Arabidopsis thaliana: one gene and its partners. The protein of the gene in region 2 purifies or fractionates together with the protein of the main gene of each other region. This does not show direct contact. Each region holds a gene or a part of one and is shown on either strand. Other genes may lie near its edges. The genes, in order: BSK2, GRXS17, AT5G11870 and GAPC2.

The links.
Region 1: the proteins of GRXS17 (region 2) and BSK2 purify together in Arabidopsis thaliana (affinity purification with mass spectrometry, with the first as the bait; one study listed by BioGRID). This does not show direct contact.
Region 3: the proteins of GRXS17 (region 2) and AT5G11870 purify together in Arabidopsis thaliana (affinity purification with mass spectrometry, with the first as the bait; one study listed by BioGRID). This does not show direct contact.
Region 4: the proteins of GRXS17 (region 2) and GAPC2 purify together in Arabidopsis thaliana (affinity purification with mass spectrometry, with the first as the bait; one study listed by BioGRID). This does not show direct contact.

Annotation. Positions count from the first base shown.
Region 1 is NC_003076.8:18,891,801-18,899,447, reverse strand, and holds BSK2 (BR-signaling kinase 2), read right to left. Parts: upstream 5,071-7,647; 5' UTR 4,762-5,070; coding exon 4,686-4,761; intron 4,457-4,685; coding exon 4,239-4,456; intron 3,881-4,238; coding exon 3,745-3,880; intron 3,649-3,744; coding exon 3,409-3,648; intron 3,324-3,408; coding exon 3,238-3,323; intron 3,126-3,237; coding exon 2,937-3,125; intron 2,852-2,936; coding exon 2,579-2,851; intron 2,502-2,578; coding exon 2,250-2,501; 3' UTR 2,042-2,249; downstream 1-2,041. Other genes in the region: AT5G46580 (pentatricopeptide (PPR) repeat-containing protein), read left to right, coding at 1-1,938. UniProt on the Arabidopsis thaliana protein: Probable serine/threonine kinase that acts as a positive regulator of brassinosteroid (BR) signaling downstream of the receptor kinase BRI1. Mediates signal transduction from BRI1 by functioning as substrate of BRI1.
Region 2 is NC_003075.7:2,516,056-2,523,241, forward strand, and holds GRXS17 (thioredoxin family protein), read right to left. Parts: upstream 4,008-7,186; 5' UTR 3,870-4,007; coding exon 3,699-3,869; intron 3,617-3,698; coding exon 3,542-3,616; intron 3,048-3,541; coding exon 1,827-3,047; 3' UTR 1,541-1,826; downstream 1-1,540. Other genes in the region: AT4G04940 (transducin family protein / WD-40 repeat family protein), read right to left, coding at 1-121, 230-433, 527-627, 762-789, 872-997; ALN (allantoinase), read right to left, coding at 6,246-6,377, 6,479-6,577, 6,716-6,826, 6,902-7,012, 7,085-7,186. UniProt on the Arabidopsis thaliana protein: May only reduce GSH-thiol disulfides, but not protein disulfides. Participates probably to the maturation of iron-sulfur proteins and to the regulation of the redox state of the BOLA proteins.
Region 3 is NC_003076.8:3,823,099-3,829,784, forward strand, and holds AT5G11870 (Alkaline phytoceramidase (aPHC)), read left to right. Parts: upstream 1-2,321; 5' UTR 2,322-2,621; coding exon 2,622-2,781; intron 2,782-2,890; coding exon 2,891-2,990; intron 2,991-3,060; coding exon 3,061-3,181; intron 3,182-3,554; coding exon 3,555-3,676; intron 3,677-3,779; coding exon 3,780-3,901; intron 3,902-3,979; coding exon 3,980-4,139; coding exon of another isoform or gene 4,140-4,143; exon of another isoform or gene 4,144-4,237; coding exon 4,238-4,265; 3' UTR 4,266-4,475; downstream 4,476-6,686. Other genes in the region: SSP5 (SCP1-like small phosphatase 5), read right to left, coding at 1-297; AT5G11880 (Pyridoxal-dependent decarboxylase family protein), read right to left, coding at 4,708-4,788, 4,886-4,975, 5,050-5,172, 5,269-5,454, 5,546-5,707, 5,819-5,968, 6,063-6,237, 6,342-6,686.
Region 4 is NC_003070.9:4,606,183-4,613,822, forward strand, and holds GAPC2 (glyceraldehyde-3-phosphate dehydrogenase C2), read right to left. Parts: upstream 4,697-7,640; 5' UTR 4,313-4,696; coding exon 4,309-4,312; intron 4,216-4,308; coding exon 4,186-4,215; intron 4,095-4,185; coding exon 3,994-4,094; intron 3,794-3,993; coding exon 3,678-3,793; intron 3,587-3,677; coding exon 3,487-3,586; intron 3,401-3,486; coding exon 3,254-3,400; intron 3,154-3,253; coding exon 3,093-3,153; intron 3,008-3,092; coding exon 2,910-3,007; intron 2,824-2,909; coding exon 2,681-2,823; intron 2,593-2,680; coding exon 2,509-2,592; intron 2,416-2,508; coding exon 2,283-2,415; 3' UTR 1,895-2,282; downstream 1-1,894. Other genes in the region: ST4C (sulfotransferase 4C), read left to right, coding at 348-1,403; GT-1 (Homeodomain-like superfamily protein), read right to left, coding at 6,817-7,016, 7,104-7,334, 7,573-7,640. UniProt on the Arabidopsis thaliana protein: Key enzyme in glycolysis that catalyzes the first step of the pathway by converting D-glyceraldehyde 3-phosphate (G3P) into 3-phospho-D-glyceroyl phosphate. Essential for the maintenance of cellular ATP levels and carbohydrate metabolism. Binds DNA in vitro.

The DNA of each region.
Region 1 (7,647 bases), on a different chromosome or scaffold from region 2:
GAGCAACTCAAGCCTCTCTCTGCAACAACACTCAGACAAGAGCAAACTCAAATCTTGTCTAAACCGAAATCTGTCTGGGTCAATCCAACAAGACCCAAAAGGTCAGTTCTTTCACTTCAGAGACAAAAGCGTTCTGCTTACTCTTACAATCCTCAAATCAAGGATCTTAGGGCTTTTGCTCTGAAGCTCAATAGTTCTATTTTCACTGAAAAGTCTGAGTTTTTATCTCTTCTCGATGAGATTCCTCATCCACCCAATAGAGATAACGCATTGCTTGTGCTAAACAGCTTAAGAGAATGGCAAAAGACTCATACTTTCTTTAATTGGGTTAAATCCAAGAGTCTGTTTCCTATGGAAACTATATTTTACAATGTTACAATGAAGTCTCTGAGATTTGGGAGGCAATTTCAGCTTATTGAGGAGATGGCACTTGAAATGGTGAAGGATGGTGTTGAGCTTGATAACATTACTTATTCGACAATCATCACTTGTGCTAAAAGGTGCAATCTTTACAACAAAGCTATTGAGTGGTTTGAGAGAATGTATAAAACAGGTCTGATGCCTGATGAGGTCACTTACTCAGCAATTCTTGATGTTTATTCCAAGTCAGGAAAAGTTGAGGAGGTTCTTAGTTTGTACGAAAGAGCGGTGGCTACGGGTTGGAAACCTGATGCTATAGCGTTCTCTGTGTTGGGGAAAATGTTTGGTGAAGCTGGAGATTATGATGGGATTAGGTATGTTTTGCAAGAGATGAAATCTATGGATGTGAAGCCTAATGTTGTTGTGTATAATACTTTGTTGGAAGCTATGGGGAGAGCAGGGAAACCGGGTTTGGCGAGGAGTTTGTTTAATGAGATGCTTGAGGCAGGTTTAACTCCAAATGAGAAAACTTTGACAGCTCTTGTAAAGATTTATGGAAAAGCGAGGTGGGCGAGAGATGCTCTTCAGTTGTGGGAGGAAATGAAGGCAAAGAAGTGGCCGATGGATTTCATTTTGTACAATACGTTGTTGAATATGTGTGCTGATATTGGATTGGAGGAAGAAGCAGAGAGGCTGTTTAATGATATGAAGGAGTCTGTGCAATGTAGACCTGATAATTTTAGTTACACAGCAATGCTGAATATATATGGGAGTGGTGGAAAAGCCGAAAAGGCGATGGAGTTGTTTGAAGAGATGTTGAAAGCTGGGGTTCAGGTTAATGTAATGGGATGCACTTGTTTAGTACAATGCTTAGGGAAAGCTAAAAGGATTGATGATGTGGTTTATGTGTTTGATCTCTCGATTAAAAGGGGAGTTAAGCCTGACGATAGGCTCTGTGGGTGTCTGCTTTCAGTTATGGCCTTGTGTGAGAGTAGTGAAGATGCTGAAAAGGTTATGGCTTGTTTGGAGCGAGCTAATAAGAAGTTGGTGACATTTGTGAATCTGATTGTAGATGAGAAAACCGAATATGAGACTGTAAAAGAAGAGTTCAAGTTAGTGATCAATGCAACCCAAGTAGAGGCAAGAAGGCCCTTCTGCAACTGTTTGATAGATATATGCAGAGGCAACAACCGGCATGAGAGAGCTCATGAGCTTCTCTACTTAGGAACACTTTTTGGTCTATACCCGGGACTACACAACAAGACCATAAAAGAATGGAGCCTAGATGTGAGGTCATTATCAGTTGGTGCAGCTGAGACCGCTCTCGAAGAGTGGATGAGAACACTTGCCAACATCATTAAACGCCAAGAGGAACTTCCTGAGCTGTTTTTGGCGCAAACTGGGACAGGAACTCACAGATTCTCACAGGGATTAGCAAACTCTTTCGCCTTGCATTTGCAACAACTCTCTGCACCATTTAGACAGAGCGATAGGCCAGGTATCTTTGTGGCTACAAAGGAGGATTTGGTGTCATGGTTGGAATCAAAGTTTCCACCTTTAGTTACTTCTCAAGCATGAAGTATCATCATCTGTTATCCTAAACTAAAAAGCAACATTATTTTTCCCAGTAAAGTTGTTTATAATTGTAATAGCATATTGAATTTTCCATCTTTTTGTATTACCATAAGGAAGAAGGAATCAAATTAGTTATTTGCAGTCTTATTCTCTCTTTCCCCAAAAGATTTGACTTTTCATAAAGATTCATGCAAAAAAAGAAGCTCTCATTTCACAAAAGTAAACAACACATTCCATCTCTCTCTTACATGCATACACACCTTTCAGTTACAGTCTGAAAAGACCCATAAATATTTGGGACTTCCTCTAATAGCTTAGCAGCGCCAGCTATTCTGTCGCTTAGCATCATATGCAGCGCCATCGTTGAGCATATCTTGAGCATCAGTCTCCATTCCGAGCTTTGAGAGCGCTAAAGCCTGCAAGTAAAAAGCTGTTGGCCATTCTGGTATGCACACCTGTGCCTGCATTGCATCTCTCAGTGCAAGCTCCTGTTGGTCTGTCATTAAGTAGGAGAAAGCCCGTCTAGCGAAAACTGTTGCAGAAGGAACCGGCATCATCCCCACCAACTGGAAACCATAGATACAGAGGTTAGAAATTCTTTTCGAACACCGAGAATTATGGATTTGTTGCTATTTCCTCTCACCTTGGAGTAGTATTCAATTGAGTTCTTGAAATCCTTGTCTCTGAAAGCAATGTCCCCGAACTTTTTTGTGTTAAGCATCTCCTGCACTTGTTGTGTCCATTCTTGAAATGAAAGCTCATTTTCTGCACCTTCTTCATCTCTGTAACCGGTTTTAAGCAAAATGTCGTGAAATGTCGCAAGGTCCATCTTTGCACAGGCCTTTCCAAGAGGAGAAAGCATAGTTGGTAATATTACTGTGTTCTTTGGTAAGCCCATTAAGACATGAGAAGCAACCTAAGCAACAAAATCAAATCCAGGATAAACAAATTTGGATATGAAATTCATGATATGGTCGGTTTCAGGAGGGATTCTTTTAAACCTCTTCTTGCTTTTGTAGTGGTGCTACTGCAGAGAGAAGAAATTTGGTATCTGGTCGATCCTTTGCCTCTGATTGAAGGCATTTTGAAGCAAGATCAACTAATTTAGTCGCATCATCATTCGCATATTGCCCTTCAAGAGATGAATCCATAAGAAGCAAAGCATTTTTCCCTCTTATGATATCAAGGGCCTGATATGAAACATCACCACCAATTCAGATAAGAAGACCACAAATAAAATCCTCGGCAATTGACAAAAAAGTAAGATAAAATGAAGGAAATTAGAACATTGGAAGCACATACATGGCTAGGTGGAATGTGTTTGCCGCTTAAAAGATCTAAAAGAATAGTTCCATAACTGAATATCACACTTTCAGGAATGACTCTACCTGCAAAAGAAAAACCAGAGAACTTTAATCTTCAATAATGAATTGGTTTGTCTTCGACTACGATTCACAAGATCAAGAATTTTACCTGTCCGTAAAAACTCAGGTGGAGTATAAGCTAAGTTTGTGCTATAGCTTTTGCCATCTCTACTGTTCTTCATAAGACCAAAAGTAGATAGACGAGGATCACCTTCCTCGTCGAAGAGGATTCTGTATGCATTGAGGTCATGATAGATTTTTCGGTTCTCAATATTGCAGTAATCAAGTGCTTCTGCAATATAGTCTGCGATTCGAACACGCATATCCCATGGAAGTGGCTGCTTTTCCCCTGCAAACAATGCAAACAAACACAGAAAGAAGAGAGTAAATCATCTAAAGAAGACTTTAAACCAAGCTTATAACGAGAGAAAGATAAGACTATTACAGTGGAAGAGATGCTTTGAGAGAGTATCATTGGGCATATACTCTGCCACCAACAACCTCTCATCTCCTTCAGCACAGCAACCGATCAAACTAACTATTCTCTTGTTTCTAAGCTTCCCAACACCAGTCGCTTCCACCTGATTTCACAAGTCAAACAAGGTCAACACCAGGACAAAGCTCCTATTTAAAAGCAGTCAAGATATACAGTCAAGACATTAGTCGTATCCTAAGATTTAAAAGCAGCTTTAAACCCGAAGTTATCGACTTTTCTACAATTCAGTGGTAACCAAACTCAGGGACGCTTATTCTTTTATCGAAAAATGATGCCTTGTTCTTCTTCTGTAACTAAAAACTACACCTAAATCACCATTCCTTGGACTAGTCATTGATGCGGTTTGCCTAAGAGATAGTCCAACAGAATCACCCAGGGTCTAAAATCAGACAATGAATCAATGAACAACAAATCATGCATTGACCTTTTCTCAGATATCTTACCACAAACTGTTGAGCATCAGGCCAAGATTGCCTAGAGAATCGCTTGATAGCTACAAGATGATTCCCTTCAAGCTTCCCTCTGTAAACGACATTAGGAGCTTTCTCTCCACCTTCAGAGACAATGCAGCTAGGACTAAACCCATTGGTAGCTTTCCTCAACTCATTTAGTTCAAATTCTTTGAAATTTTGGATTTCCTGATCCACTTGGTCCCCATTTACTGTAACCACATAACAAAACATACCCCGAAAAGGCAAATCAATCTAAACAAGAGTTTAATTCCAAAAAGGAAGAGACTTTATAACTTTTTCTCTGCTTTAAGCCTTTCACAAACCCTAACCCCACAAATTAAAGCAAACCCATAACAAGAACAGACGAAAAACTGCAGATTTACTAAGTGAGCAAACAAAATGTGAGTTTTTTAGAATCTAAGAGATTAGTATTATTACCTGATTCTGGTTTGTTTGGAGCTGATGGATCATCAGAAGAAGGAAGATTAGCAGTTTTGGAATGTAAACAACCCATTTGTCTCACATCCAATCAAAATATTGTTCTCCACAAAGATCAGAAATTTGGATAAGAAACAGAGATTTTTGTTGTGTCTAGTGTTCTTGGATTGAGGTAATAAAACAATGGTGGGATTTGATTTGGGGCTTGGATTTGTGCTTTGTGAGAGAAGCTGAGGAGGCAGTAGAATATAAAAATTTAATAAAATTTGAAAACTTAAAGACAAAAAGAAGTAGCTAGAGAGAGAGTGAAAGATCTGAAAAATATAGCTTCAAAAAGCTGCAGACTTGAAAAAATAGAGGTAAGAAAAAAACAATAGAGTCATGTGAAGCAAAAGATCTTTAAATTTTTCTGCTCTAGATTTTGCTTGCAAATACTTTTTTTCCTCGGTACTATACACGAAATTTTAAATTTGGGTTTCAGTTTTTAGCTGTGAAATGTAGAAGTTTTTACTACATTAGAAGAGAGACTTTCATATGAATTATCCAAAAGTATAAGTTTTGTATCCAGGTAAAGATAGATATTTTTTCTTTAATTTTGCAACTTTCTCTTAATGTTTATATCTTAGATTAACTTAAATAAAAAGATGATAATTTTTTTTTTGGCCTTAAGAAATTATTTAGGTATATCTTAGATTCTAAAGTCAATAATAATAGTGTTAAGATTTGGTAATAATTTACAAGATGACAGTTTATTTTGCAAAGTTAATAAGAAGGAGTGTTAATACAATAAAATATCAATTAAGAAAAAAAATAGTTAAAAAATATATTAAAACAGATATAATTATTTACAGTTCAATAAACATGTTAAATAGCTTACATCAATTTTGTGTTTACTATTGTCTAATCTTATCTCAAACACTCGTTGGTGACATAATTGAAGGTACAAATTTGTACCCTGCTATTAAAAACTAAAAATCAAAGTCAACAACACAATAACAATAATAGTGAAAATAATTGCTACATGATCTGCTCTCTTATTCGCCTTTTACTATGTAAAAAAAGTATTTACACTCGATTGAGCATTATTGATATATGAGATAAAATGTCAAGACGATTAGGTTTGTGTCATTCATTCTTGTTAAATTTTTTATTTTTGAAATATTGCGTTTTTTGCTTATTAACTTTTGACGACTTCTAGCCTATGACAATTTGTTTTAAAAAATTGTTGGACAAAGAAAATAGGTCACATCACATGACAAGTCTATCATGGGGCACGTGCCTCGACCTTCTTGGGTCCTGAATTTTACCGAAGATAGAAAGTAACTATTCCTCTTTCCATCAATTTTATTAAAAATTAAGGGTCTTTTTAAAAAGCTAATTAAAATTTAGAAGTCTACCACCAACATAATCGGTATTTATTTTAGTATAAGTACAAAATGAATAAGTACCGTTATTACATGATTCTTTTCACACAAAAAGTCTTCGGTTTATTATATATCAACCCCTTCACCGACAAAGTTAATAACGAATAGAGATTTCGAGATTTTAATACTACACAGATCCTTAAATGATAGTACTTGGACCGAATCATCCACTAATCATATGAGAATTTCTACAAAAGAAAGGGGGATAAAGCAAACAATTTTCGATATTATTATTCTGGATTTTCTATTCCAAATATCACAGCTACACAAAAATCCTTTTTTTAATATAACTATTTTAGTTGATGCAATGCAAATACATGAACTAATTTTTTGCTAAAAGAAAAAACTAATTTATTTTCATACAAAAGGAAAATAGTTGTACAATTTCTTTTTTGTATATTCTATATATTTCAACTTGGCCCCTTATTTTCATTGAAATTAAAATTTTAATTCCTTCACACTTTTTTAATTCTTTTATCTTAATTATAATCCTGTTTCTCAAAAAGTTCATAGTAGCGTTGTGGTTCAATATGTATTTTCTGAAAAAAGAAAAACAAAGGTCACTACTAACGTACGTTTTATCTAAACCACGAAAACAAAACAATTAAGAAGAGATGCAATTCAACACTCTCACTAATGTAGGCCTTGTTGGTGCTGCCAAGATCTAAAATGTAAGGTCTCACCTGCTTCCCCAATAGAAGAGACAAGTATATACACAATGATATTAGTATTAACCTAAACTCCTTATTCTCATTAGATGCATGGTCAAGAAAATTACTATTCTCTAGAGAACTACACAACAGAATTTACCGGTACTGAATAAGATCTGCAAGAAGCGTGTTCAGTAGAAATGTCGGCGATCTTTTATTTCTCACGTCCAAAGAAATATCAGCTTTGGTAATGAAGACATTGTGGGATTATCTTTGAACATCAATACATCATAATAGAAAAAGTATCAGATCAATGAACATAAGAGAGTTATACTCATTAGGAATGGAAAACTAAGACTCACCATTGTGTGAAAACATAAATTTGGCTCATTGAAGAGGCGTGGGATACCTGAAAAAGGTTTACCAAATCAGCCTCTGTTTCACACATCCATGAAGATCATTGTAGCAAAAGTTTACATGACAAAGCGTTGCTAACAACAAAAATGCCCATACTAAAACATTACTTCTGTCTCTGTTGTGTTTGGATTGTCGAAAAAATTAAGGTCTCAGATTTTTTTTAAAAGAATTTTTATGGTAAATTATGAATTTTTTTGGTTTCATGCAATATTTGTCCCAACATATTTACTCCACCGTGTTAATTTACAGCTATTTTTGGGATAGGGGCTTTGAGGAAATGGTAATGCAGTTATATGGTCTCCTGGTGAAGTTGCTCACTGACATAATTTTGCCAAACCACATTACTCCAGCTAGTGAGCGACCTTTGTGCGTGAAACCACGTATAGAAAATGTTGTTCGATGCGGAATGTATCTTGTAAAAGATCTTTTTTTATGATCTCTTGAAAGAGAGATTACTACCAAAATCATATT
Region 2 (7,186 bases):
CCAGGGCAGGGGATGAAACACAACTGGTGACAGATGAACCCCAACCCTTAAACTGATAGAGCATCTTCTTAGTATTAATATTCCATAGCTGCAGCGGACCCTCTTGGCTCCCTACAAGAACCTACCAATGTGGTTCCAAGTAAGAGAAACATGCAAAGAGTTAGAAAGGCTTGTCAACAGAAGACACCAGGGGAAAAAAAACTGAAATCCTGAACCAAGTATGACTCACCTTGTTGAGATAGGTATCTGGGTGAACAATAGAGGTAGGGGTAAACTTTCCAGTAAGCTGAAGATTTCCAATTGGAGCTAGATGTTCTTCGATTCCTTTGAATGCCCATATGAACATATTTCCTTCCACGTCAAGACTAAGCACATGTTCTCCAAACACCAGTAGAAGATCAACTTTAGCAACATGTTTGCTCCAAGTTGCTACCTATAGATATACCCACAAGAATTCCAACTATAAACAAAGTACTCATAGATATAAAAAAAGCAGCAACTTAACTATAGTTACAATGAGATATACCTGATGAGCACGCCTAAAGACAGCGATTTCATTGCCAAACGCAACAAATGTGTAGTCTCGGTAAGAAGCTAAAGCTCTAATTTTCTTTGGAAGCTGAGGACCTTTAAGATAACACAAATTAGATTATAAGAAAATTTACACTGCATAGACAAAACCCAATTCTAAATGCATGAATTTGAGTAAGAGAATGATTGAAAGGACAAAACTTTAGGTTTCAGAAGAAGGAAAAACTTACTGATTATGACTAGATTGAGCTTGGCACACTGCAACAAGAGAACCAAATTAACAACAGAATCGAATGAATAAAGAACACGCAAGTGAAACTATGAAGATTGGGAGCGTTACATTATAAATCTGGAAAGCTTTGCCGACGCTGACGGTGACGAAAGTCTCGGTACCCAATCGCTGGACGGAGAACGGAACCGTACTCGTTATGTAACCTATTGCTCTAAACGGTTCGAAAATTCCCATCTTTCGAGTTCGAACAAGAAATTAGGGTTTCCTCGGAAAAACGATTTTAGGATTATCAAATCAAAGAAAGGTTTTTTAAGAGCTTGAGAGAGAAAACGCGGCGCAGGAGCGATGGAGGAGATACAGCAAACAAGACCTTTGGGGTTTAGGGTTTAACGAAATTTCTTTGTCCGAATTTTAATTTTATTTTCCGGTTTAAGTGTCCGCTCGGTTTATACAGGTTCTTTATTTGGTTTGGAGAATGTTAAATTTGGTTTGGTAAAATTATGGTTCGGTTTTGGCTAAAAGTCATTGAAATGTAAAACCAAAACCATTTTAGTTTAATATTTAACTAATTGTCAATATCAGTATCAATTTTAAAATTATGATGACTTTTGGTTTAAATCTTGTTTAAATGTACAAAGTCTCGGTTAATGCTCGATTGCAGTTTGGTCTAAACTCTAAACAAATGATTTCCATTCGGTTTGATTCTAAGAAATTTGAGTTTAATCACACAAAATCCCAGCCGTCGGATCTTAAGAAACTCTGTAACATAGAAAGATTGGTGTTAATCCTAGCCGTCGGATCAAGCTTTCTTTGTTTAAACCACTCTTTGTTTTGTTACTCAGTCTAAAAGCAAATGTGGTCAAGATAACCATAAATAAAGATTATGTTGATACAAAGAGAGAAAAATAGTTATGAATCTAATAGACTCAGCAATAGAAATAACAAGACAAAGCTTGAGAAGCAACAATATCAATGTTTGTAACACCTAAAACATATTATTACCATAACTGAAATGTTCTCTCTCACCAAGGCAAACCAGCAGACAGAGACTTGTATATATTACTTACTCGGATAGAGTTGCTTTGAGATCACCACTCTCACTTAGCTCCATAATGATATCACATCCTCCAATTAACTCACCTTTGTAGTATAGCTGAGGAAAAGTTGGCCAGTTTGAGAAATTCTTAATCCCTTGCCTTACTTCTTCATCAGTCAAGATATCAAACGATCCGAAACTCACGTTTTCTCCTCTCAATGCTTTCACAACTTTGGAGCTAAATCCGCATTTCGGTTCATCTGGTGAACCTTTCATGAATAGCATTACTTCCGAGGAATTGATCAGTGCCTTCAATCTATCTTCAAGACTCTGTTCTCCAGTGATCCCTTTCTCGGTCAAGACCTTTTTCAGCTCACCGCTCTTTTGCATCTCCAAGACAATGTCTGATCCACCCATAAGCTCGCCTTTCACGTAAAGCTGAGGATAGCTTGACCAGTTTGAATACACTTTAAGGCCTTGGCGAACTTCGTCATCTAAGAGGATATCGAAACTCCCAAACTCGATTTTTTCTTGGTTGAGGATTTCAACCACTTTCCCACTGAACCCACACTTTGGTTCTTCTGGTCTTCCTTTCATGAACAGCATAACTGGTTTGGAATTGACCAGACCTTCGAGCCGAGCTCGGAGGGTCTCACTTAAGCCTGTGTTTCCTGAACTAACCCCTCCTCCTTTTCCAGCTTCATCCTGACTTTCTTTTGAACCAACTGTCGTGATCCCAAGATCTTTGAAAGCATCTTTTAGTTCACCGCTCTCGTGCATCGCTATTGCGATATCAGCTCCACCAAGAAGCTCTCCGTTGCAGTACAGCTGAGGAAACGTTGGCCAGTTAGAGAATTTCTTCAAACCCTCTCGCACTTCGTTATCCGATAGTATGTCAAAACTTCCAAAATCAACGTTAACCTCTTTCAAAATGTCAACTACTTTCCTGCTAAACCCACACCTAGGCTCTTCAGGAATACCTTTCATGAATAACATGACAGGGTGAGAATTAGTGAGCTTTTCCAAACGGCTCTTGAGAGCATCGGCGGTAGATACAGGCTGAGCTCGGTCTTGTAAAGAAGCTTTCGCATTCTCCTTCACAGTTTCAAGAATCGTTGGCCCAGCAGCCAACCCTAAGCTTGCAGGAGCAGCAGGCTCCGCAGAAGTACTAGAACCAGCAACTTTGCCAACCTTATTAGCTAAACTTGATGGATCTGCACCCTCAAGTGTATCCACAGTTTTACCATCCTTCAATAAGAAAACGAATTCACAGTCAGAAGAAAGTAACAACTTTCAGAACAATCATTACAGTGCAGTGACAAAGATTCAAGCTTTGAACACACTCTCAATCCTATAAAGACAGAAAATTGCAACCAACCAATTAAAACAAAGAATCAATAAGTCTGGAGCTAAATGGATAGGCGAACCATCTTCTTCTACTACCTGATTAGATAAACAGCTTTCAGTAATCTAACAGAGACGCAAACTAATCAAAACAAAAACCCTAAATCCTAAACTTTCGATCAAAACATAGGGACAAAGATTCAAACTTTTGAACACACTCTCAATGCTATAAAGACAGAAAATTGCAACCAAACAAAGCAACATAAAGAATCAATAAGTATGACTTCATCAATGTCTTCTTCTTCTACCAAATTAGACAAACAACTTTAAGCAAAAACAAAAACCCTAAATCCTAAGTTTTGATCAAATCATAGGGAACAAAAAAAACGTAACTTTACCTTGAAGAAGACGAAATAAGGCACAGCAGCAACAGAGTAAGCCTCAGATATCTCAGGATGTTCCTCAGCTTCAACCTAAGAAGATAAAACCAATAACAGTCAAAAACCTCATTGAAAGTGATAAAATTTTGAATTGGTCAAGAGAACAGAGACGAACCCTAAAGAAGTGAGCACGAGGGAAATCAGTAGCGAGATGAGAGAAAACTTGATCCATCTGCTTCGAAGCATCACACCAAGAAGCCCAGAAGTGAAGCACGACTGGTGCGCCGCTCTGGCGCAAGTTATCAAGCTCCGCCTTTGAAACGATATCCTTCACCGTACCGCTCATCTTCGAAGAGGGAGAAGGATCTCTTAACACTTTTTTTTTGTGTTGTGATTTACCAATTTATTATCGAGCAGAATACACTCTGTTGCTGGAGAAAGAAAGGAGATTTATGTAAATATAACAAAATAAAAGGACCTAACGATACAATTAGGGTTTTTGTGTGCCCAATGTGATGCTAAAATTGCTCACTTATGTAATTTCTTTTTATAAAAATAGTAAAATTATATATGTCAGCGGAAGGAAAAAAAAATTGGAAATTAAGTAAGGTAAAAATGTTAAAATTCTAGGTGATAACAATCTTTAAAAATAAAATAATTTTGAAAAATATTAGATACATTTAAATTAAAACTACTAAAAGTAAGTTTGACTAATAAAATCTTAATCCTATTTTTTTCTTTCTAAAATTAATACTAATTAGAGGAATTGTATATATCAATCCTCATCGAATTGGATTCTCATAAAACAGTCTAAGAATTAGGTTACAATTCTTTTTTTCTCCTTTGTTTTGTATGTGTGGAATTGTTTAATTCTGTTATATTAAAAATCCACAATTATTTTAGCATTTGTATTTTTAGTTATTTTATTATACTATCTTTTTTTTTAAATGATATAATATATAAGCTTACATCATTTAGATAATTGATGCATCTATTAATTTTTGTGTAACATCACTATTTAAAATGATACAAAATTTACATCAATGGAAACTGATACTAGTTAACGACTAATCATCGACTATAAAATGTGATGTAAATGTTTACTTAATTTGTCAAAATCCTACATTTCTCCCACAAAAAAAGAGGTTTCATAGTTTTCTTACATATAGTGACCTTGGTTTTTTGGTGGTGTAAAAAAATATAAAACTTAGTATGCAAAGTTTGCCTTCATATTAATTAATGAAATTACATAATACTTTTTAAAAACAATTAATTGAAAGTCATTTTATTTAATTAACATCGATTATCCTACTATATTATTTGGGAAGTACATTTTAAATGTAACCTTTATTTTTGTAATTAATTACATGATAATGCCATTAGAAAAATTTAATCAAAAACAAAACTCTTTAATGACGTCATTAAGGTTACCAAAACTTTGATAAATATAACGTGGTCTTACCTAGATATTCCTCTGGGTATTCTTGTGATTCAATTATGTTCACGTCTGATCGGCGAAGACGTTTAATAAGGGGTTTGTTCTCGGTGAGAAACCTTTTCCGAACATAAGCATCTACAGATCGGATGTAGAACCCACGTTGAGCCATAGTTTGTTTCATATTGTCAAGAACCGTTTTCAAGCTCAATTTCTTAGGGATGTGAACATATTCTACATCCCACAATTCCTTAAGAAAAAAGAAAAAAAAGTATACTGATCCGAAAACAATTAACAAAAAGCGAACAATATACTACTACATTACCTTCATAGGCTGCAATCCACCTCTATTAGTGACCACGTTGGTGCTTAGATCTTGCATTGGAGGAAATCCTTTTGGATGAGGAGTTTTTGATTTTGATAAAAACTCATCTCTACCACGTTCAACTTCTTTCTCTTCCTGTTTCTTCACACTGCGTCTTCCCTTTCCTCCAGGTTTTCCTCTTCCTCCAACCATTGTTGACAGAATCGGCGCAAAATGAGGGTTCAGACGAAATGATGGAGGTTTGTACGTATTCTACACCCTCGGTGATTTATTATATAAATATCAATTTAAGAGAATAACCTACTCAAATCACTAACTAATCCATGATTATTATATACTCATACTTTGAGTTTGGATTACAAAAAAAATATTCGAGTATGAAAAAACTATTAAAATGGTTTTATTGAAAAATCATGTAATATTAAAATAAATTTAGTAATAGTACATTAAATATGTAAAATAAAATAATATAAAAATAAATAATAAATGTATCATTAACCTATAAATTAGAAGTTGAAGAGCTTACATTAATTATTTAATAGACACATGACAAATATATATGATTTTGACCAACTTTCATATATATGATTTTGATAAACTGATGCAAATACTTAGAACACTTACAAAAAGTGATTTAAAAAGATAACATCTTTTTTTTTAGTTGACTCAAATTAACATTAGTTACAACAAGCAATGCAAATATTATGTATACTTTTAAATTATTTGCATCAACAATATATACATCATTTACTTAAGCGATATAAATTATTTGCATCAACAATATATACATGAGTCCACTAACCTTAAAGCCAACAACAAGATTTAGAGAGTCTTAAACTTACAATTGGCAAAAAAGACTCACTCATTACATCAACCATCTTGCAACATGAGAGCAACTCTTAATCGCATATTTACATTTGTTTAAATGGTGCAGATCAAGATCTTTTAAATCCCTTTTTAAGTTAAGTAGTTGCAAGTTGCAGAGACCCGCAAGCATCAGAAGCATGCTTGCCTTCTCCAAAAACCAAGTTCCCTCTCACAAATGTCGAAACCACTTTGCCTGATAATCTTCTTCCCAAATAAGCTGAGATACTCTATTGTACACCACAAGAAGCAAACATAACATAAAGATTACACATTCGTGTTATTCGAGCTTAACCATTAGCTATCTTTCTAGAAAAAACTGTGTACTTACAGGGTGTTTGAAGTGAATTGGATGATCTTCATCTACATCAAATTCGGCTTCAGGTTCCCACACAACAAGATCTGCGTGTTTTCCAACCGTAACCGCTCCCTATAATTAAACCATTACTTATAAGCTGCGATAAATGGACCCCGAATCCTAATAAAAACACGTCTATATTATGCCAGTGTGCTGTGTATGGACAAAAAAGAGAATACTGAAGCTGCGTTTTTTTTTATAATAACGAACCTTAGAGTGTAGTCCAGCGAGTTTGGAAGGCCTATCACTCCACCAAGAAGTTACCTGCTCGAGCGTTACTCCATACTTTTTTCCATAAGACCATGTGATAGGAAGAACAAACTGCAATTGGCTCTTCCATGAGTTTTTTTGTGCTCTCACAGTTTCTACATATTACATTTTTAAGACTAAACGAACCTGTAAAGAAGATATCCCACCCCAAGCTTTCAAGAAGTTGCCATCACTCATAAGTTTGAGTTCAGGCTTTGTAGGTGAATGATCAGAGCTCAGCATATCAATGTCTCCTTCCTAATCAAATCAAAACCTCAGAATCAACGAGTAAGGTATCACAACAAAGATTGCGTAAAATATATATTATACCATCAAAGCTTCCCACAATTTTTCTCTATTTGCCGCATCACGTATAGGAGGGGAGCATTTGAAACGAGTATCACCTTCTGGAATCTCTTCGGCTGAGAAAGC
Region 3 (6,686 bases), on a different chromosome or scaffold from region 2:
CGGCCTGAAAGTTGGGACAACAGAAGACAGGTTCGGCAAGTTCTTGATAAACAGATAAGGATCAAACTCATCGAGCTCCTCATCCTCTTCATCCTCCATGCATACCGAAGTAATAAGGGAATCTTGACCACGCTCGTCAACACATTCCAGCTTAGAGCTCTTCATCGCTAGATAAATGGCAGAAACCGAATCCAAGTTACAATTTGGATCTACGGTACTTGTATCTAGAGCAAGCAATCGATCATAAGGGTTCTGTGCATCCAAATCCCGAGAAGAAGGAGAGTCATCATCTTCCATTAAAACCCTATTAACATCAACTTGTAACTGAATTAGACAACAGAACTCAGAGCCTAATGCAACTACTCCACAATTTCAATATCTGACCATTATTCACATTCATACCCAAACACTACTATAAATCTACAAGTACAAGGTTCAATGATAAAGTTTTCAAATTTACCTTGTAGAAACTCTCTTCACTCCTGTAGCTACCGACAAAGCAGAGACACCGGAGATAGATCAGTTCCCGAGAGCCGTCAAATTACAAACAACTAGCTCATACACTATCTGAGAACGAAAACAGATCTTGGATTAGAAAAGGAGCAAAGCCCTAGATACAATTCACAAAGAAGGAACCAAAACAAAAAAGTACCCAGATTTAAAATATTTGAAAGATAAAAACTTTGGAGCCAAAAGAAGCAAAATTCGAAAACTTTTCATCGCGGAAAGTGACAGAAATCAATATTTTAAGAAAGAGAACCGAACCGGAACTGAAACCCACGAAATCGATTTCAGATAATTTTCAATTTTGATATATATATCTAGGGCTTTTAATACGAAAAAAGGGGGGAAAAAAGACATGTGGAAAAATCAAAGCTTTTTACTGGGATAAACGATGGATAAATCTAATCTTTCCGCTTTCTCCGCAAATTTCTCTGCAAATTTCAAAATTTCTTCAACGAAGCGCACACCTAGATTAAACTTCAGTAGCCCAGAAATTCGAGCTGAGATTGAAGAGCTAAGAAGAAGAAACGGAGAGGGAGAGAGAGAAAAAAGAAAACCCTAGAGAGAGTATATTCGTCGGAAAAAAGTACCTCCGATCAAAAACGATTTCTTCTAGCTTCCGTCTTCTTCTCTCTCTCTCTTCGAAATAAAAGAGTAAAATATTTGCTCGAAATGAATGACAGACGACTATAGTCTACATAAGCAATGAAATATTTCATTTAAATGCCCTCATACTTTATTAATATTTCATTAGTAACCTCGATAGTTTTTGATTTGTTAAACTAAACCCCAAACATTCGAAGAGTATTAGGCCGGTAAATGATGACGTCATCTCCGGTTGGAGGATAGTACAACGATGCCGTAGAGAACTAGAGAAGTGTCTTTTTCTTAAAAAGGAACCTTCTGTTTTTTACAAATTGAACATGCATGTTATGGATTATTGGAATAAAAAAAACGTTTTGAAGACTTTTGAATATTTTCTTTGAAAAATGAAATTATACAAGATTATGTGACTTGATTAGATTTGATGTTACAAGTTAAGTTGGTTTAGAATAATCTTTGTTTAGTACTACTATATATAGGATGATCTATTTTTCATTGGTTATAGCTAGAATGCTATATAGAATTGTGGAATGTTGTTTCATGTCATGATTATGCAGATTTATTACCAAACACATAAAAGATTAAGAGGTATGACATGAATGACGTGTTCTGCTGATTATGTTTACGACGAAATCCAAATAAAAGACAATTTGATCCAACACAAACTGAAAAACACTCAACCTGCCAATATTATTCAAAGAAATGAACAACATCAAACTTGTATTCAAGCATGGCACAATGGATGATTCAGAGAGGACATGATGGCTTAAAACAACATTGATATATTTACGTTCCCAATTTGAGCTTTAGAATATATGTTTGTAATTTGAGAATACATATGATTGTTTCATCTTCTTCCCCATCTTTCTCTTATACTCTTTCGTTTTCTTGAATACTTTGTAGCATAAAGAGCATTTAGACTCTTAGTTCATTCTCTTTTGAACTTTGTCTCATGTTAATCCCATTTTTGTTTTTGTTTCATACATGGCTATCTATGTGGGTTACTTCTAAGAACTACAACAACACATCAAGGATATATAATTTAGCAATTTTCTTAGTTAACTTTTCCTTCTCCTAGAAACACTAACCAGGAAACAGTTAACTAAAACCACTCCCGCCAAGTTTTGAAACGTTGTACATATATATAGGAGTGAAAATATTACTTTCAGAAACATGGGGTGGGATATATATAAGATATAAAAATGTAAGGGGTTACTTTACAAATAAAATAGAATAGAAACAAAACGTAGACGTTTAGAGCGGTCCTCGTCAACTACGACAACATTAGAGATCGATCGTCGTCGTCGTACCCGTCAGACTCAAGGAAAAAGAAAAAAAGAGATTCCGCCGCACGTTGTTCTAATCGAAAAAAGCGACTCTCAATAAATCTGTCTTCCCTTTTCTTTCTTAAACTGGAAGAAGATTAATCAATCAGACACAACAGAGATAACTGATTTATCCACTTCAAACAATACAAACCTTTAAAGTCTTCACCTTTATAGAGAGAACTTTTAATGGTGTGGTTGACGAATCAACAGATAGGGAGATGGAAAAGGAAACGAATTTTGGTTGTGGGATCGTTCCTCTGTTGGTCAATCATCATGTTCATCACTCCCAAAGTTCCTCTCGATTCATTTCGCCATCATATCTTCGCCGATAAACGCAATTTCATGGGTATCATCATCATATCACACTCTCTCTTCTTTTTTTTTTATCTCTCTCTGTCTCTGTGCATGTGTAATAACGAGAGACAGGTGTTTTGTGTGGGTTTGATGATGAACAGGAGTGCCTAATACATTGAATGTGATGACCAACTTTCCCTTTCTTATCGTTGGAGTTCTTGGTTTTGTTCTTTGCATTGGAGGAAGCTTCTTCAACATAAGGTATCATTCTCTTTCCCTTTTTTGAGTTTTATTTTGAGTTAGTTTAACAATTTGAGTTGTTGTAATGCAGTTTAAATGGTGAGATCTGGGGATGGACACTGTTCTACGCAGGCATTGCAAGCTTGGCTTTTGGTTCTGCTTTTTATCATCTCAAACCTGATGACAACAGAATCGTCTGGGACACTTTGCCTGTTCGTTTTTCTCACTTTACTTTTCTTCGGAACATGAATCTTCTTTCAGTTATGCATTCATTGCTTCTTGATTAGTGATGCGGTAATTGTATATATTGACAAGCACATTGTGAATACAAAAAGTTGAAGAATCATCTTATAGCTATGTAAAAAAGCTTAGATTAGACTTCATGGTTTTTCTTGGATTGGTTGGTTCTACAAGCACATAGTGAAGTGAACACAACTCTTATAGCTAATGGAAAGAAGCTTTAGAGATTTTTCGGGTGTAGAGTTGTGGTTTTTGGTTTTATTGAATGGAAAGTTGTTTTTGCTCATCATTTTTGATGGTTGGTTTATGAATAGCTGTTTGTTGATTAATGACGGTAAATTGCAGATATTGATTGCGTATTCGTCGCTTTTCTCTAGTTTTTTGGTTGAGAGAGCGGGGGAGAAAGTGGGACTTAGTTGCCTCATCTTGCTTCTATTTATATCATGTCTCAGTGTTGCTTACGCCAGGTAACATTAAAACCAAGAAAGCATTACCTCCTCTGTATACATATATGTTCATGGTTTTAGTCAGGTTTCGGATTGAAATTATATGTGTCTTAGTTGATGGCAGAGTGTTTAATGATCTCCGGTTATGCATGACGTTCCAGTTGATACCGTGTCTGGTGATTCCCGTCATGGCGGTTTTGTTACCTCCCAAATATACACACTCTAGATTCTGGCTCTGGGCAACAGGTTTTTAACTCAAAACCACATTTGCGGTTTTCTTATTAGAATCCACGGTCTTCTGATATCTGCTTATCATGAATGCAGCGGCGTACACTATTGCCAAGATTGAAGGACTTGCAGACAACAAAATATACAATGCAAATCGATATATCATCAGTGGGCATTCACTGGAGCATTTGTGTTCTGCCGTGGCTACGCTTTTACTTACCATTATGCTTTTGTATAGAAGCATTCGGTTTAATAGGTAACGTTTTTTCACTGACTCTTTCTCTTTGATCTTTGAGTTCCTTGAAACCTGAGAGGATTTTTCACTTTTCTTTTGTATGATGGAAACTAAAACAGATTAGGTGATCTCAAAGGCCGTCCTTGACATTCATTACTGACTCCTCAAGTTTTTTTTCTCTTGTATTTAGATGCTTCTGGATTCTTGTATTACAAATTTTGTTTGGTTGCTAGATAGATTTTGACCCATGATCCCACTAAAACATCGTTAGCTTGGTGTAATCTTGGTTTCTGGTTCTGAAACAGCTTTGGCTTTAAGGTTACTTATTCAAGTCTTATATATGTGTTTGGACAATGGACAATTTTACATGTAGTAACTAAAAAGAAACCAAAAGAATAATCATAACTCACAAATACACCTTTTATTTTCGGTCTTGACTTGTGACCTGTTTCTTATTCATATGATCACTTTATTGAGGACTTTAAATCATAGCACAGAATGTGGAAAAATCCAAGACAGCAATAGCATTATAGAAACGTAATCATACAATTCATCTAAAATAGCAACAATGATGAGTAAATCTCGGAGTTCATAGTCCTTCAAAGAAACGTAAATGGTCATCGAATGTCTCAGCATGCCTGATCTTAGTGATCGACCCATCTTCTTCAACCTGCAAAAAGAAGAATATAAATCAATCACTTTCTCTCAGGATCTTGACCCTCCGCTAAATTTCCGCAGAAAACGATAATAAGAAACAGTATTGTTACCCAGTATTCCGGGGGACGCATCTTGAGATTGTAAGTGGAAGCCATACTCATACAGTATGCACCAGCGTCATGAACCACCAGACCAGCTCCCTGTAACGTATACAAGAAACTAATTAGATTCCATATTACTTGAGCTGCCAAACATAATCAGATCCTTATAATACCTGTGGAGGAGTGGGAAGCTCTCTGTCTTTGCCCAAGAAATCAGCAGATTCACAAACAGGACCCACTACATCGAATTTGGTAACCTCTGCTTCAGGCGGTGTAGGAGAGACCAACTCAATATGCTTTTGCGTTAAAAAACAAAAACAAGAGGATGTTTAGCTATAGTTCAAAGGGACTAGAATCTGCAGATGCTGTTGTGAAAAGTATATTTGTTTTACCTGATAGGCATCATAAAGACTGGGACGGATAAGCTCAGCCATACTTCCATCAATCACTATGAAGTTTTTAGTTCCATTCGTCTTCACACCAGTTACATGGTTGACGAAACAACATGTGTTTGCAATCAGTGATCTCCCTGGCTCGATTATTAGATTCAGGTCTCGTGAAAGAACCAGCTCTCTTACCTATGAAACACATCCAGGATTCTAAAGATTCTACCATTCCAGTACTTTTGAGATCAAGATAAAGAAAAGAGTTTTGAGCTGTTGTTCTTACGGTGTTGATAAGATCCATGGGTGTAGGAAGGACAGCGCCGGCATGATAATAATCTATCCCTAAACCACCACCAATGTTCAAGTAGCTAACCTCAAAGCCTTGACGCCGGATTTCATCAATGTATTCAATCATGAGAACCGCAGCATCTCTGAATATATCCACCTGAAATAAACAGAACATACGTGAATATGCAAAGCTCAAGACTCAAGAGTTAAAATTTAAGAGATTGATTACATTAAAACACAAATTAAAAGGAACTATAGTCGGAGTTACCTTTGTAATGGTAGAACCAAGATGACAATGAGCTCCAACAAGCTTCAGCTCTTTGGGATGTGCCTTCACTTCATCCAGAAACCATTGAAGCTTCTCGTTCCTAATACCAAACTTCGAGTTCTTGTTCCCAGTAGCTACATATGGATGCACCTAAAATGGTAACAAACAGAAAAAGCTCATTCATATCCAAGCTAAAGAATAGATTCTAGGACATGCTGCTAAAAGATTGAAAATTTAACCATACCTGAGGATCAACATCAGGATTGATACGCAACAACACATTGACCTGCTTACCAGAAATTCTTGAAGCTTCCACAATGTTATTCAAGTCAAACTCACTATCAACATTTACGAAAACACCTTCTTGAGCAGCTAGAACTAAATCTTCCAAAGACTTTCCATTTCCATTGAAAATACACCTATTCATTTCATCCACACCGAAGACATGGTCAAAAACTACACATCAACATGAGACCAAATAAAAAAATATTCAAACTTTATTATTGGGGATAAAGAATCGTACTTTGTGGGATCGAAACCAGCAAGAAGAGCAAGCCTGAGCTCATTTCCACTAACCAACACAGCACCACAGCCCAAACTCCTCAAATGCTCCAAAATCTTGAGATTGTTATTAGCTTTAATAGCGTAACCAATAACAGATCTCACTCCTTCCAAAGCCTCTTTATAAGCCTCAAGGTTTCTCGTGATCTGAGGTTTGCTATATAAGTAAAAGGGTCGTTTCTCGACTGTTTCCATGATATCTTGAACCTTGGTTCCTTCGCAATAGAGAAACCCATCTGATGATTTCTTGAAACAGTGGTCGAAAGAGGAAGCAGATTCTTTCGTGAGGGTTTTGGTGGAGTTTTGG
Region 4 (7,640 bases), on a different chromosome or scaffold from region 2:
AGTTGAACGGAAAAGCCACAAAACTAACTCAATTATCATAAAAACCAAAACAATGGTTTCGGTATAAAGAACCTTATAAAAAGACCCCATGCATGTTCGTTGGTGAAGTGTCCATGTTTACGATATATACAATGGACTAGATTCCTATATACTAGTATTTTTTAATTTCTTAGTGACATGATTGGTTAATATTTGTTAGAAAAAAGTCGAAGATTATAACATTATTTTGTTCTATGTATATAAGGTCAATAATGGAGCGTAATTTTATATTAGTAAAATGCTGCATTTAAGTTTAGCACTTTAAAATCAACTAAAATGTTCACTTAACAAAACAAGAACCAAAAAAAATGGATGAGAAAGATATTCTAAGGAACTTGAGGGAAGAAGAAGAAGAAGAAGAAGAAAATCAAAGCGAAGAAACCAAAATTTTGATCTCTTCACTTCCTTGGGAGATAGATTACCTTGGGAACAAGCTTTTCAAGTACCAAGGATATTGGTACTACGAAGACGTTCTCCAATCAATCCCCAATATACACTCGAGTTTTCAGCCACAAGAAACCGATATAGTTGTTGCTTCTTTCTACAAATCGGGCACGACTTGGCTCAAAGCACTCACATTTGCACTCGTTCAACGATCAAAACACTCGTTAGAAGATCATCATCATCCTCTGCTATCTCATAACCCTCATGAGATAGTACCGTACCTCGAGCTAGATCTGTATCTCAACAGCTCAAAACCGGACTTGACCAAGTTCTTATCATCATCATCATCATCATCATCTCCGAGATTGTTCTCAACTCATATGTCCTTGGACGCGCTTAAACTACCCTTGAAGAAGTCTCCTTGCAAGGTAGTGTACGTGTGCAGGAACGTGAAAGACGTGTTGGTGTCACTTTGGTGTTTCCTCAATGCCAACAAGGGAGTAGAATGGGGAGATTTTAGCCAAAATGAAAAGATCATTCGAGCGGAGAATTATTCTTTCAAGGCTATATTTGAGTCATTCTGCAACGGAGTTACCCTACACGGTCCCTTTTGGGACCATGCACAGAGCTATTGGCGAGGCAGCTTGGAAGATCCTAAGCATTTTCTTTTCATGAGGTACGAGGAGTTGAAAGCGGAGCCTCGTACTCAGGTCAAGAGACTTGCAGAGTTCTTGGATTGTCCATTCACTAAGGAAGAGGAAGATAGCGGAACTGTAGACAAGATCTTGGAACTTTGCTCTCTAAGTAATTTAAGCAGTTTGGAGATCAACAAAACTGGATCCTTGGGTGGAGTAGATTACAAGACTTATTTCCGTAAAGGACAAGTTGGTGACTGGAAGAGTTATATGACCTCTGAAATGGTAAATAAAATCGATATGATCGTCGAGGAGAAACTCAAAGGTTCCGGTTTGAAATTCTAGAATTATGCGTGTGCTTTGTGAAGAACTGCAGAAAAAGTGTTCTTGAATGCGTTATTTAATAATAAAAGTTACATTGTCATATATATAACTTTGATGTATCATTACAACTGATGTGTGGTTTTTGTTCTCTTTGATGTTGCAATAAAAACCTTCTTTACTTCTATGTTCCTTTAATAACTAGCGTGTGATCTCATGAGTACCATTTCAATAGTGGCATGTTACTCTTCATTTACGACTAATAAAGTAATAAAATAATCGTATTATCACATGCAATAACATGTCACTATTGAAAATACGAGTTTCCTATTAACTTTAAAAGTTAGCATGCAAATAAAATTATAATATCAATCATTTTACAATGATGTCAACCAAAAAATTGGATCTTCGCAATTGCAAGGAAATACTAAATTCCAATTTTTGATCCTCCGTTTCAACAAACTTGGCTGATTCGTTAAAAAACAATGTGGCGATGCTTATCAACCAATAAATCCGTCTCAGTAACTTTTGCTTTCAATCGAAGATGATTGACCTAATGTGAGCTATATGACTAGGAAGAACCATTTTGGTGGAGAAGCTCAAGTACAAATAGACTATTAAAAATACGAGAAGAGGACGTTCAATGTTCCAGTTGCCAGTTGGGTTTGAGTTAGCACGAGAAAGTAATGAACTAAAAACTTAATTAACATAAAAAACCAAACCAATGGTTTCAGTAAATAAAGCAGGGAAACATTAAGAGAAAGCAAAAAGACAAAAGCTACAAACTCTCATGACTGCGCATGGAATCAGTGAAAAAACATAACAACTCGAGTTTTCTTTTCTCCTTTTTTTTATTCAGAACAGTACGAACTCAACCACACACAAACTCTCGCCGGTGTAAGCTTAGGCCTTTGACATGTGAACGATAAGGTCAACGACACGAGAACTGTAACCCCATTCGTTGTCGTACCATGACACCAACTTCACAAACTTGTCGCTCAATGCAATCCCAGCCTTGGCATCGAAAATGCTTGACCTATAAACACAAACCCAATATTTCAATTATTTGCTCTCGCCATTTATAAGATCAGAAAACTGTATATCACTCTACAGACAATATTTTTTATACCTGTTGTCACCAACAAAGTCGGTAGACACAACATCATCCTCAGTGTATCCCAAAATTCCCTTCATTTTGCCTTCAGATTCCTCCCTGAAAAGTTTTAACCAAAATCTTTTGTAAGTACCCAATAAATTCTAATATGATATGGTTAGGACTGAGGGTCCTTGATGGTTCTCACTTGATGGCCTTCTTGATTTCGTCGTATGTTGCAGCTTTCTCAAGTCTAACGGTGAGATCAACAACTGAGACATCAACGGTTGGAACACGGAAAGACATTCCGGTCAATTTTCCATTGAGGGATGGCAACACTTTCCCAACAGCCTATCAACAACCATGATACAAAAATCAGATTCAACATAATTTCTCAATCAAAATCAATTAAAACAAATAAGAGGCTGAAATGATACCTTGGCGGCACCAGTGCTGCTAGGAATAATGTTGAAGGAAGCAGCTCTTCCACCTCTCCAGTCCTTCATTGATGGACCATCAACTGTCTTCTGAGTAGCTGATCACCAAAACAACAGTTACTATTGAGTCAAATATACATATTTTCAAGAATCAACCCAATGAAACCAAATATAAATACGTACCAGTGATAGAGTGGACAGTGGTCATGAGTCCCTCAACAATGCCAAACCTGTCATTAATAACCTGCACAAATAGATTGCAACTGTAAGAGAAATGATTCAACTTAAAATTCAGAATTCAGAACAATTTACACAAGTTTATGGGTTGAAACAGAAAAAGATACCTTGGCAAGAGGAGCAAGGCAGTTAGTGGTGCAACTAGCGTTGGAAACAATGTCAAGGTCAGACTTGTACTCGTGCTCGTTGACACCAACAACGAACATGGGCGCATCTTTGCTTGGGGCAGAGATGACAACCTTTTTAGCACCACCCTGAATAACAATGAAACAATATGATGATGATATAGATCTTAAATAAACAAGTTCTCGACTATTATATAAAAGATCCAAGTTCAAACCTTCAAGTGAGCAGCAGCCTTGTCTTTGTCAGTGAAGACACCAGTAGACTCAACAACAAAGTCAGCTCCAGCCTCACCCCATGGGATGTCCTCAGGGTTCCTTCAAAAATAAAACACCACAAATCAGAATTTCACAACTCTCAATAACATAACAGAGAACCACTATAATAAAATCATCCATGATTATGTACCTGATGCCGAAAACAGTGACTGGCTTCTCACCGAAGAGAAGAGTTTTGTCATCCTTCACCTTAAGCTCATGGTGCTTCCACTGACCGTGAACACTGTCATACTTAAACATGTATGTCTGCAACAAATCGATACCATATACACAATCAGTCAAAACGAATTTACAGAGAATCAACATAGAAGAAGAATACAACAAAGCAAGTTCTCAGATCTATATGATAAACAGCACACACCATCATGTATATTAACAAAAATTCAGATAAAACTATTAACTCAAATCCAGATACGAACTAGTATCGAAGAGAAGAAGAAACGAACCATGTACTCGGTGGTGATGAAAGGATCGTTAACAGCGACGAGCTCAACATCATCCCTCTGAAGAACAACTCTAGCAACCAAACGACCGATTCTTCCGAAACCTTCACGAAGATTCAAAACTCAGCTTCTACAGATCCAAATCACTTAAACCTAACCAAAAAACTTATGGAATTCGATAAGAAAAACACTCACCGTTGATTCCGATTCTGATCTTCTTGTCAGCTACACAAACCAAAATTACGATCAGATTCAAAAAGTATCAACGAAAGAACAATAAATCGAAGAATCGCAGATCAACAAGAGCGAGAAGCTTACCCATTTTGCGAAATTGAGATCGAGAGAGATTTAGATGATATCGAGAGAGAAGAGAATGTGAAAATAGTGAGTGAGGGTTTGGGTTTGGTGAGGATTTAGGGTTATTTAAAAGAGAAGAAGAACGTGATGATGAAAATTGAAAATATGATCGAGTGGCTGAGATTTTTTCTTGGGAAAAAGGCTAATAGATTAGATTCACTAATTAATATTACTATATTGTACTTTACTTTCTTTCTTATTTACCATTTTTACCCATCGTTTATGGGTAGGATTAAGAACTGATTTGGGGAAACTAATGGCGCTTGGATTCACGCGCAGGCTGATGGAATATTCGAGGTTTAATACTCTAATCCTATGGGCTGGGCCGGTGCACGCAAGACTGCAACGTAGCAGATTTTGTATATATTCCTTTTGACAGCCAATGAGCTTTGCCAATAGCCAAATTTGTTTTTCTTTTTATTTAATTTTCATAAGATTTTGTATTATTGTTGTTGTCAAACCATAATTTTCCTTAATAAATCCAAAGTAACTGCAATAGTATGCTCATTTTTTAATTTTGCGTAACAAGTAACACCACTGTCTTCTATACATGTATCTTGTGATACCATTCATGGTAAATTCAATTATTATCGGATCAACTTTATCATCCAGTTCATTATAGTGAAAGTTACTCTCAAATGTCAATTCTCACTCAACATTCAGCAACATTACTCCAACCATTGTTTTAGAATAATCAAGGTGAAGATTTGACTTCATAAACACTATATTTAAAGGTGTTTTGTTTTAATCAATTTAGATGTGTAGATGCTTGTAGACGTCTTTATCGAATTACTGGTTGCTTACTGTTTCAAATATTTATAATTTGACACAAGTACATATGGTGTTGTATATTTATCTAATCGTGACTCTATACCAAGACACAATAGATGCTCCACTTTGAGAGCTTTGGTAGGTCAGATGGAATGTGACAGCAAAAAAAAACATCACACCTTATGTAATAGACTAATAGGTATGACTCTTGGCTTTTGCCAAAAGTCTTCTTCTTCTCCTCCTCTTATTTGCTCTCTTTTCTTTTTCCATTTCATTTTTGTTAGGTGAATGGTTATAAAACTCCTTCTTTTGGTATTCATATGGATCTTTATACATCCAATAAATAGCTAAAATATTATCTGAGGTCAACAATATATCATAAATTGAAGTTTGTGATCTTTCTATAACTCATGATCATTTCCAAGAGTCCACTTATAAGTTATAACTGACCCGTCAAGTGTCAGCCATTCTCTTCGACTGAATAAGTTCTATGATTTAAAAACGATTTTCTAATTCGTTTTTCTTTGTAAAATCAATTTACTTTGGTTTGTACTTTGTAGTAAAAAACCAAATTTATTTTTGCTGAAAACCATATTTGAGAATTTTATAACATAACGTACATGTATTTTTTTCATTATCTGAATTATTTGTAGTGATTTTGTGGAATTTTCATATGTTATTTCTGATCTTATCCCTTTTATTTTGAAGTGTCATTATTCACAATGTTCTAAAGTAATCGTGAAGTGAAAAGAACCACAATATATCATTATCAAAGTATATGTTAAAATTCGATTCTAAGAGAAAGAAAAAAAAAGATAGAAAGAAAGATGCAATAATTGATGCAAACCTTCTCGACAAAAACAATTATTGACGCAAAACTTTAACTATTGGAATCTTATCCTGATGATCTGCTTATAACCAATGTTATTCCACTTACGTGATATTTAAGATCTAGAAGTTGGTTTATTTATGCATAAACATTTCAATTAACTCAGTTTCATTTGTATGTTTGTGATGTTTATGCTGTCTTGATTCTGTCTTCCTCCTTTTCACGCTGTCTCAAAGGAGAAAAGTAATAAGGAGATCACGAGGGAGATTCAAGCTATAATGAGACAAGTTGCTTCCAGCATAACTTGCTTGCCTTGTCTCCATGAAACATGTAAGAGAGAGAGACATTAATCGGCTTGGCGGTTGGATAAGGTGTGTTTGTTGTGTTGGGAGCATTTACTGATACCGATGTGGCTGTACCGTTCACCTGGATCAAGAGAGTGGTTGAATTACATTCTTTGATACTAGTGTTTGTTAATCAAATCATTATAGTGTTTTCTCAGTAGTATAAGTTCAGAAAGTTTCTCTGGCTTTGCAGATTGACAAGGTCGAACACACTCATTTCATACAAGAACAATAAAAGGGATGAAGAATGACTCTGATACCACACACAAACACTCGCTCGTCTGATTGTGAACAATTTATTCACTTCTCTTATGTTCTGTTCTTACAAATGTAACAGACCAAAAATCTATTTTGAGGTCTTCTTGGTCTGTACGGTAAATGCCAGTTATGATATTTCATATTTGAGCAAGTACATGAAAAAAAGAAGAAATGTATAAAGAGAATGAGATCATATCTACAGGGGACTGTTTTCTGATCAGATAACTGTTGATAGAATTGGAGAAGAAGTTTTGTGATCTCATTTCCTCATCTCACACCTCGATACACAGCACCAGGTTGAAGATCATCCATGTTTTCTATGTTCCTAAAACCATCAACTTGCAGGCTTGACCATCCCTGTCGAGCCAGAAACTCGCGGTAGTCTTCTTCAGTGTAGAAGATTTTCTCTTCTGAATGGACTGGTAATTGGTTGGATTCATCATAATGGCAAACCCTAATGGCCAGTCCTGCAAGATGGGTTTTGCATACTGACAATTCAGTAAAAAACACACACACAGTTCAAAAGATACGAATAGTGGCAAATTTAATCTTACCATCATCCAGACGGAGTAGATAGTTCCCTAAGGGCATGTCTCGGTCAAGACAGCGAATAATCTGATCTTCATCTTCTAACCAAAAAGCCCTTCGAGTTCTTAACCCAAAAGCAGATCTGATTACCTCTTTGATTGCTTCTGCACTACCATCAACACCGATTCTTCTTGTATAGTCACCAAATTTCACTGTTATGACCCTACCACCAAAAGGCTGACCATGACTATCATCACCTGCTTGTATAAACATGAAACAAATGAAAAGCTCTACTCAGTTATAAAGAGACCGAACGAATAAATCAAGCAGAGGAGCAGAGGCTGTGAAGCAACCTCAAAATGAGAAAACGTGGATTCTTACACATATTACACCATGCTTGGAACATAAACATACAGTTCAAAAAACATATCTTTAGCCTTATAGAAAATTAAACTTTGAGGCTTAAGTTTATATAAGCTTTTTCTGAGGACTTGCCGTTTCCAGGAGTCTCTCTCCAATTCCAAGGAGTAACTCCATTTGCTGCAACAGCATCAACTGCTGTA